Linked DNA regions of Kluyveromyces lactis. The protein of the gene in region 1 interacts with the protein of each later gene in a pairwise test. Links are inferred from orthologs where the notes say so. Each region holds a gene or a part of one and is shown on either strand. Other genes may lie near its edges. The genes, in order: FAR11 and TPD3.

Evidence for each region.
Region 2: the proteins of FAR11 (region 1) and TPD3 interact in binary tests that used the Saccharomyces cerevisiae proteins (3 or more experiments, as listed by UniProt). The link is inferred for Kluyveromyces lactis from reciprocal best matches to the Saccharomyces cerevisiae genes FAR11 and TPD3.

Annotation. Positions count from the first base shown.
Region 1 is NC_006042.1:2,261,747-2,266,279, reverse strand, and holds FAR11 (Far11p), read left to right. Parts: upstream 1-1,686; coding exon 1,687-4,470; downstream 4,471-4,533. Other genes in the region: TEP1 (putative phosphatidylinositol-3,4,5-trisphosphate 3-phosphatase), read left to right, coding at 1-561; LSM12 (Lsm12p), read right to left, coding at 721-1,278. UniProt on the Saccharomyces cerevisiae protein: Participates in the control of the reentry into the cell cycle following pheromone treatment.
Region 2 is NC_006042.1:726,067-730,183, forward strand, and holds TPD3 (protein phosphatase 2A structural subunit TPD3), read left to right. Parts: upstream 1-1,765; coding exon 1,766-3,598; downstream 3,599-4,117. Other genes in the region: PEX15 (Pex15p), read left to right, coding at 175-1,248; KLLA0_F07711g (endonuclease III domain-containing protein), read right to left, coding at 3,763-4,117. UniProt on the Saccharomyces cerevisiae protein: Phosphatase 2A affects a variety of biological processes in the cell such as transcription, cell cycle progression and cellular morphogenesis, and provides an initial identification of critical substrates for this phosphatase.

The DNA.
Region 1 (4,533 bases):
ATGTTTCTCCGATACGAAGCTAAACAACGAGAAGAAATAATAAAGAACCTTTCTACCATCGAATTCAAGATTTTGTCAATCGAGTTTACAAATTCAATTGGTCAATATAGCTCGGAATTCTTGAAAAAGGCCAATAATACAACAGTATCCATTAAGATACAAAGTCACTCAAGTGGAAAATCGGGTCTTATCGATTTATTCTCCAAGCAGTGTTCTACAGGCAAGGGATCATTAAGGTCGTTAACTTCAAAGCAAATAATAGTTCCAAATATCAACGTAACTTTCTCAGATATCCGTTTATCATTTGGAATCCGTTCAAAGACCTCGCAATTTATAAACAACGTCTCTCACCTAAGCTCTTTTTCAAGTTGCTGGTTAAATCTTTATTGGGAATCTGTGCTTCAGTCAAAGAACCTTGATAATGACTCCAACTACATTTTACCTAAGAATGAACGATTTGAGTTTTATATTCCATGGGAGGAACTTGATGGGTTTAAAGGAACCTCTGGGAAAGGTCTTAAATTATTCGATTCAATTTCTATCCGGTGGATGTTACTTTGAAATTCGGAGTGACGTTAATCGAAGGACAAGCTAGAGATTGCTCCTAGTGGGCATCATCTAAGGCGATGTGTATTCTATCCAGTTTTAATTCCGAACGAAATAAGTTAAATTTTAATCTGTAAATAAATAAACTATATATTTTTACATTGACATCCGGCATCATCCGCCTTTTCTTTCGTTCTCTAATTTATTCCATGCAGATTCAACAATCTTATCTATCAACTCTTTTGATTTGACATCAGTTCTGCCTTGCAATGGTTTAATGCTACCAAGCTGATACGGCGGATTTATTTCCAGCTCATCAAGAACGACAATGGATTTTCCCTTCCATACTATATCTGATATAGTCTTATGAATGAGATCAAATATAAATTGACCCTCATAGGAAACATTTTTTCCAATTGACATTTCCTTTTTAGCAGCTGTGTCTATTGTCTTAGCCAATGCATTTTTCACTCTATCGAGATCAACGTATGACGGTTTTACATGATCTTTCTTGAAACTAGACGGATTAGCCTTCTCTCCTACTAGTTCCAGATGCTTGATAAATGAGGTCTGAATGATCTCAAATGTGTATGCTTTATTTTTCTTGCCCACAATCAAAGTGATGGTGTCATTATTTGAGTTGAATGAATACACTTTTCCTTGCGTTACATGGTCTAAAACATCAGTAATTTTAACTTTGAGGCCAAGAATATTCTCCAGAGAAATGCTCATTTAGTTTGCAATCAAATATAAACTAGCGGCTTCGGCCAGAAAAGCTTGCTGGTCACTCTTCCACGATTGAACATCACGAGTCAAATTCGATTTGTTTCTTACAGATTTTCAGTTTTAATTTGTGTGTATCACATTTTTCAGGCATTTGAATAGTTACTCAAAATCCAAAAAAAAGTAGCATCGCATTCAATCAGACATGTTAGAATAAGAACGTTTGCAACTATACACTTAAACTTTTTAGAAAACGTTACTTTTGTGGTTCAAATACATTGCGAGGTATTGCCTGAACTACTCCCGTGGTTTTCTATTGATAGCGGCTTGAAGAGCTGTTTTCTTTTCAACATTGAATTAACGATTATTCAATTTGAGAGATAGAAAGGAATCCAATATTATTTGTGGATTGCGATAATGCCAGAGACACAGCGGTCAAGATCTCCGCTATTGAAGTCTTTGTCTTCTAAAGATTTGAGGAGCAAGACTCAGGCTAGACCGCCATTTGCAAAACAGCTCTCCAATGAACACCAGACTTTCCCTTCGGATACGTCTTTATTCCATGATCTGGATAGTTTACTTAGCAAGAAATTACATTTGGGTGATTCAAATGAATTGCAGCATGAAAACAACGGCACAGATAGACAATCTAATGAAGCGAACAATAGCAGTGAGATTATTGATACTCAGGATGATGCTAATGGGGAAGAAGATGATGAGGATTCAGAGTTTGCAAATGTCGATGAGATCGATGGACCAATCTCCCCCAGTTCTAGTTCTGGTAGCCTGAAAGATTATTTCCAAGGTTATGATTCATATACTAACGGACAAGCATCACCGAAGCAACTAAGGAAGGTTTCACCCGAATTGAATGACAAAGATAAAATAATTACATATGAGGATGTCAAAGTTGAAGAAGATAATAATTTACCAGTAGACGATGCATTAAAGAAGTTGTTACAAGAAAAAGCAGACGAGATTGAAAGAGGTGATCTTTCACATTCATTTACCAAGCCTACGTTAGATTGGCAGGCTTCCGATTTTAATTCATTATTTCACGAACTATCAGAATGGTTCATACAAAAGGACTATGGGAGCTTAAAGACTGCAAAGTTGAGCTTTGAAAAAAACTATGATAGTTCGAAATTTATCGAAGAGCGTAAATACGCTATTCAAGTTATTACAGAGCTTGGTAAAAAGCTAGAGGTAAATTCAGTGGATATCAATACCTTGCTTTGTCTGGCGTATATTTCTTTCGGAACTTTTCAGGAAACGAACAGTTATTTCCATCATTTAGACATTCTACGGAGGAATAATACTCTATTGATGATGATTTCAAAGGTACTCTTACCTTGCTTTAAGAAACATGCAGATTGTTGTAGGGTGAAGAACACTAATTTGCAACAATATAATACTCTTTTGTTCTACTCGGGTTCAATCACTTATTTTATGATCAATATAGCTATTGAGCAAAGAAGCATGCACACCAAAGCTGTAGAAGATTTTATTGATGTCGTACATTCATCTGGCTTGATGCTTTTCCTTACAAAATATATAGACCATTGGCGTTGGAAAAGTCGACTCTCAATGAGAATAAGAAATATCATTATTTTATTCCATAAAGTGCTTCTATTACAGTTTGGTGAAGAGAGCCATTATGACGCAGTGAAGAGATTTGTTCTTCAACATCACAAAATTGAAAAGAAAGACTCCTCTGCTTCGAATCTTTCAATATCTCCATTGGAATATGTTGCTTTTAGGGAAGATATCACCTCAAGATTTCCATCTTCTCAGCTTCCAGAACCGACATATCCTAGCATGCTTGACAACCCCAATTCTCTTTCACAATTTTTAGAGATTCCGAGACCCCGTTCGAGGAGCAGTTCTAACATGTCGTTGGGAGAGCCACAAGTGCATATGGCAACGCCTGCACCATCACAGCCGGCATCACCCACAAGCTCGCCCAACGGATTGAAAACGAGGAAGTCATTTCAAGCCAATTTATCATATCCAGCATTTTTTCCATCCTCTGGTGACTATGATACTGGTGTGGTAGACGAACTTAGTAATAAGCTGAGTATTGCGGTGCCTGAGACAGTGTTACCGTATAACATGCAAGAAGCAATCGAAATTTTGTCAAAATCTGTGCATATAAAACTATCTACTAAACAACTATGGCATGAAAGAGAATTATTTATGGTGCAAGAACGAGGATGGACAAACACTGAGGTACATGAGAAGGACCCATTCACGTATAGAGGTATACAGAATGAGGAACCTGAAACCATGAATCGCATCGAAGATTATTATGCTAATGCTTTACCCCATTTTTCATCTCTAGTATATGTTCTATTAGAAACTATTGAAACTTGTATGTCAAACAAAGTATACCTTGAAGAGGATTTTTCTGAAGAAGAAATTAATGAGCTTCAACCACAATTGGAACTTATAAGATCAAAGGAAATTGCAATGGAATCGAGTTCTGCCATACTTTTCCTCCTTTTAAAATGGTTTAAGGTTAGCCACTTTCTTAAATTTGAGTATCTTTGCTCGTTGATTTACGATTCAAAGTTCATTACGACAAGCGTAGGCATCCTTCAATCTTTTACTGATCAATATCAAAACAGAATTTACTCTAAACATTTACAACCTACCCATTCTTTTTGGAGTGAATGTTCTTTATACAATGTTCAATATAAAGAAACTCTTGAGATATCAACCGCAAATGAGAAAGCAAACAGATTAAATCTCCGAATGCTCAATTCCGAGGTGTATCTATTACGAGTGTTATCCAAAATAACTGGGAAAAAGACACAAAGGCTAAAAGACCTACCACTTAATGTTAGTAACATATTCAAGGCATTGTATTCTATCTTTAATCTGGACATATACCACCCCATATTAAAGATAATTCACGAATTGGCACCATTCAAGAATAAAAGATGGAGGGCAGATCATATGGAATTGATTTCTGGAGTGTTCTTACATGAGAAACTTCATTTAACAGATAACTGGATAACAGGGAAGGATATCACGGGCGAGATCAACGATTCCTATGGCCAAGAAATTGCTTTACGGGCCATGCTGCAATTCTACAATTTCTATCACTATAAAAGAACTATGGAACATTGCGGGTACGATGACAAATTCTCTAACTCTTTCTTTTCAAGGGAGGCTGAACTACTCTCTGCTCCTTATTAAAAAATATGGCATAATAATAAGTTAAACAAATGTATTATACATGTACTGTATTGATATATATAT
Region 2 (4,117 bases), about 1.5 Mb from region 1:
AACTCTATTGAATTTATGTCAGTTCATAGTTTTTCTATTCCAAGGGCATAACCATCAGCATAAATTATTTTGATAGAAATAGCTTTACCTGAACCTTCTTGAGCCAAGTAAAGGCAAGAGTGAAGATAAGGGGTTCACAGATAATGAGAGGTTAGTGTCCAATAACCGGATAGAATGATGAGCCAGAAAAGTTTTCAAGTGGTCGACACGACGAGGTTGGAACAGCTTCTTGATGATGATCGGTTCAGGTTGAATTTACAACCTGTTGATATAGAGAAAGAGCATGCGCAAGAATGCTTAGATCTCTATGTAAAAGGTGACCTTAAGGAATGTCTCGAACTGATGTATGAATATGGGCTGTTGAACAGCAACAAGATGCAAACGTCCTTAAAATCATGGCAATTAATGATGGACTGCGTGAGTCAAATGAATAATGTTGGGGTAATCGGAACGAGTCTAGATAAGCGATTGAAGGAATGGTTCACCAATGAGGAATTACTTCTAAGACTAATCAAGATGAAGCCGTTGAGTGATCAATTGATTATCACGTACCAATTCTTCTATTCTTCCTTGAAATTTTGGAAGAGAAACGTTAAACAAAACTATGAACACATCGATGAATTATCCATTTCATGCAAGGAACTACTCTTACAAACTTCAAGAAGATGCCAAACAGTAACTGAGATTCAAAACCTAAGTCAAATACTAGATTTCTTGATATTTGACGTTCAAATAGAAACGTTACAAAAGAAGGCCAGCATCACGATGTACACTCGATTTTGTCAGCTAGACGACAAATTGCAGAGCAAGCTCAAGGCGAACAAGGTGAAGCACGCTCAATCCGTGGATATAGACACCTATTTCCGCGAAAAACTACAACCTAAACCAAAGCCGAAGCCAAAATCAAAGAGTAGATCGCTGAAGCCAAAAAATCAAGTCCAGATCGGTGCAGCAACTACATCAACGTCGACAACAGCCGTAATAGCACCTGCATCTACGCAAAGGATGAATTTGTCCTATATACGACGCTTGACAACCTATCTACCTAGATGGTTACCTGTCTGGGCTCAATCGGTACAATGGTCACCGCAATTACTGGCATCGCTTATTATCTTCGCAATATCAATGGTACTACCCCTTGCAAGAAGATCAAAAACGTTCAATATCATATGGATGCACAGCAAAGATAAAGCATCCACCATAGTAAGACTTTTCATCCATGCAGTGAACACTTTAGCATCGCTATGAGATGCCTACGCACATATTCATGTATCTATATATTTATCCAAAGTTACCCTACACAACGAACATCTTCATTACCCTACCGAGACCATCAATCACGTGACTTTGGGTTCTCTCCCCCCTTCTTGTCCCCTTCCTCCCTCATAACGTCAGTGGAAGGAAGGAAAACTTGATGAAACTGAGATTTGGATTGTTTGGTGAGAAATCGATGAAAGTCGAAATTTGAAAATAATTAAAAATATACATTTGGGTTTATCAAGAACAAAACATTAGGGTTATACTATCTTTGTATGTTTTCACAATTGGAGAGGACACAAGAGGGCAGAGAAAAAGGTTTGGGCTTCGATTTTACCAGAAGATCAGGAATTTAGACAGTGTACTTATATTTAGAGGAACGAGAACGGTGTGGTAAGCCAAATATCTAACAAATTTCTTTCTCAGTTTCAAGAATAAATTTAATTTCCGCAATTATTACCCAACTTTAGACAGGCTCGGGGAACTTTTTAGCAGTGTAAGAAATAACATGGGCGATAATAGCGACAGTAAAGTGAATCTCTATCCATTAGCTTTGCTAATGGATGAATTGAAGCACGATGATATTTCTAATAGGGTTGAAGCAATGAAAAAACTGGACACCATTGCTTTAGCCTTGGGCGTTCAAAGGACGCGTGATGAATTGATTCCATTTCTAACCGAAGTGGCTCAGGATGATGAAGATGAAGTGTTTGCAGTCTTGGCTGAACAATTAGGTAATTTTGTGCCGTTTGTTGGAGGTAGAAAATATGCCACTCTGCTATTGCCTGCTTTGGAGATTCTTGCATCAACCGAAGAGACGTTGGTGAGAGAAAAAGCAGTTGATTCATTAAATATGGTAGCCGAACAGTTGACTGAGGAACAATTGCTGCATGATTTTGTGCCTTTGATTGAAAATCTTGCCACCAATGAATGGTTTTCTTCCAAAGTATCAGCTTGTGGGTTGTTCAAAGCAGTTTTCGTTAGAATTCAGGATGATAAGTTTAGAAAAGATTTGTTATCGTTGTTCTTGCAATTGATACAGGATGATACTCCAATGGTTAGAAGAGCTGCGGGCAGAAACTTACCTACCCTTGTTGACCAATTGACTGAGCATCCAGAATTGTCAACAGATGACGAATGGGACTATATCTCTAGTATGTTCCAAAGATTGGTCAATGATTCTCAGGATTCGGTGAAATTTTTGGCTGTTGATGTCTTGATCTCAATCTTGAAATTTTTCAATAAGAAAAAGGACTTCACACATACGAAGGATCTATTACAATCTTCCATTCAATTAATCGGGGACGAAGCATGGAGAGTTAGGTACATGGCTGCTGATAGATTCGAGGAACTTGCTTCTCAGTTCGTTTCGAATCCACAATATGTCAGCGAATTGTTAGAACCATTCTTAGCTTTGTGTCAAGATAACGAAAGTGATGTCAGGAAAGCCATCGCAAAACAAATTCCTGGCTACGCAAAATTGCTTAATGACCCATCTGTTATCTTAAATAGAATTATACCTGCTGCTCAGAATCTAAGCATCGATGAAACAGAATGTGTAAGGGCTTCTTTGGCTTTGGAGATTACAAACTTGGCGCCTTTGCTACCAAAGCAAGACTCAATGGATAGTTTAGTTCCAATACTTCTACATATGTTGAAAGATGAATTCCCAGATGTCCGTTTGAATATCATTGCCAAATTGAAAATCGTCAATGAATCTGTCGGAATCGAATTTCTATCTGAGAATTTGCTACCCGCCATTACAGAGCTTGCTAAGGACCCCAATTGGAGAGTAAGATTGGCCATTATTGAATATATTCCTCTTCTCGCAGAACAGTTGGGGATGGAATTCTTTGATTCTAAACTAAGTGATTTGTGTCTATCGTGGTTGTGGGACGGTGTTTACTCTATCAGAAGTGCTGCTATCACAAATCTAAGTAAACTAACTGAAATCTTTGGTTCAGATTGGGCACAAGAAGAAATCATTTCTCGTTTACTAAAGTCGGACACTCAACTGTTAGAAAACTTCAACTATAGAATCACTCTACTATTTGCATTAACTGGGTTGGTCCCCGTTGTCTCCACAGACGTTGTTGTCGAAAAGATTCTACCATTCGTAAATCACTTATCCACAGATAACGTTCCAAACATTAGATTTAACGTTGCAAAGTTCTACGCTGTCATCGTAGAAGCGTTAACGAAAAATACTAATAAGAATCACATTGAACTAATCAATAATACCATTATTCCAACACTAGAAAAACTATGTCAAGATCCTGATGTCGACGTAAGGTTTTTCTCTGCACAGAGTTTAGAAAAATGTAAATCCTTCTTGTCCTAAGCGTAGCAGAATATTATAGGGCAACATCTATATAAACATGAATAATTATCACATTTATCTACACTTTACTATGGCATGTTTTAAGTGGCGGCATAGTACTAGAATTAGTACTAGAATTAGTACTGGATTTGTTACGCGCGATATCTAATTATGTACTCAATAAATCAGTTATCCTCGGTTTTCACTTCAGTATTCGATTCCGTAGAGGTAGTTTCCGCACTTCTATCCACATCATCAATCTCATTCTGCGAGAGTTCAGCTGCTCTCTCTTTTCTAAGGTAATTTATCCATTCCGTGTAATCACCCCTGTTGCTGTTCTTCACCGTATCTTCAAGCTCCAAACCGACTAGTTTCAGTAATTTTTTGTCAACCCCTGGGCAAATATCGTTCACAAGACATAATTCACACCTTTTGCTCCTTGGCATGCAGAGTACCTGTCCAAAGCCCACCAATACTGGATTTATTTCATACCACAAAGATCTCGGTAGCCATGACTCTAACTGTTTTCTAGTATGTTCA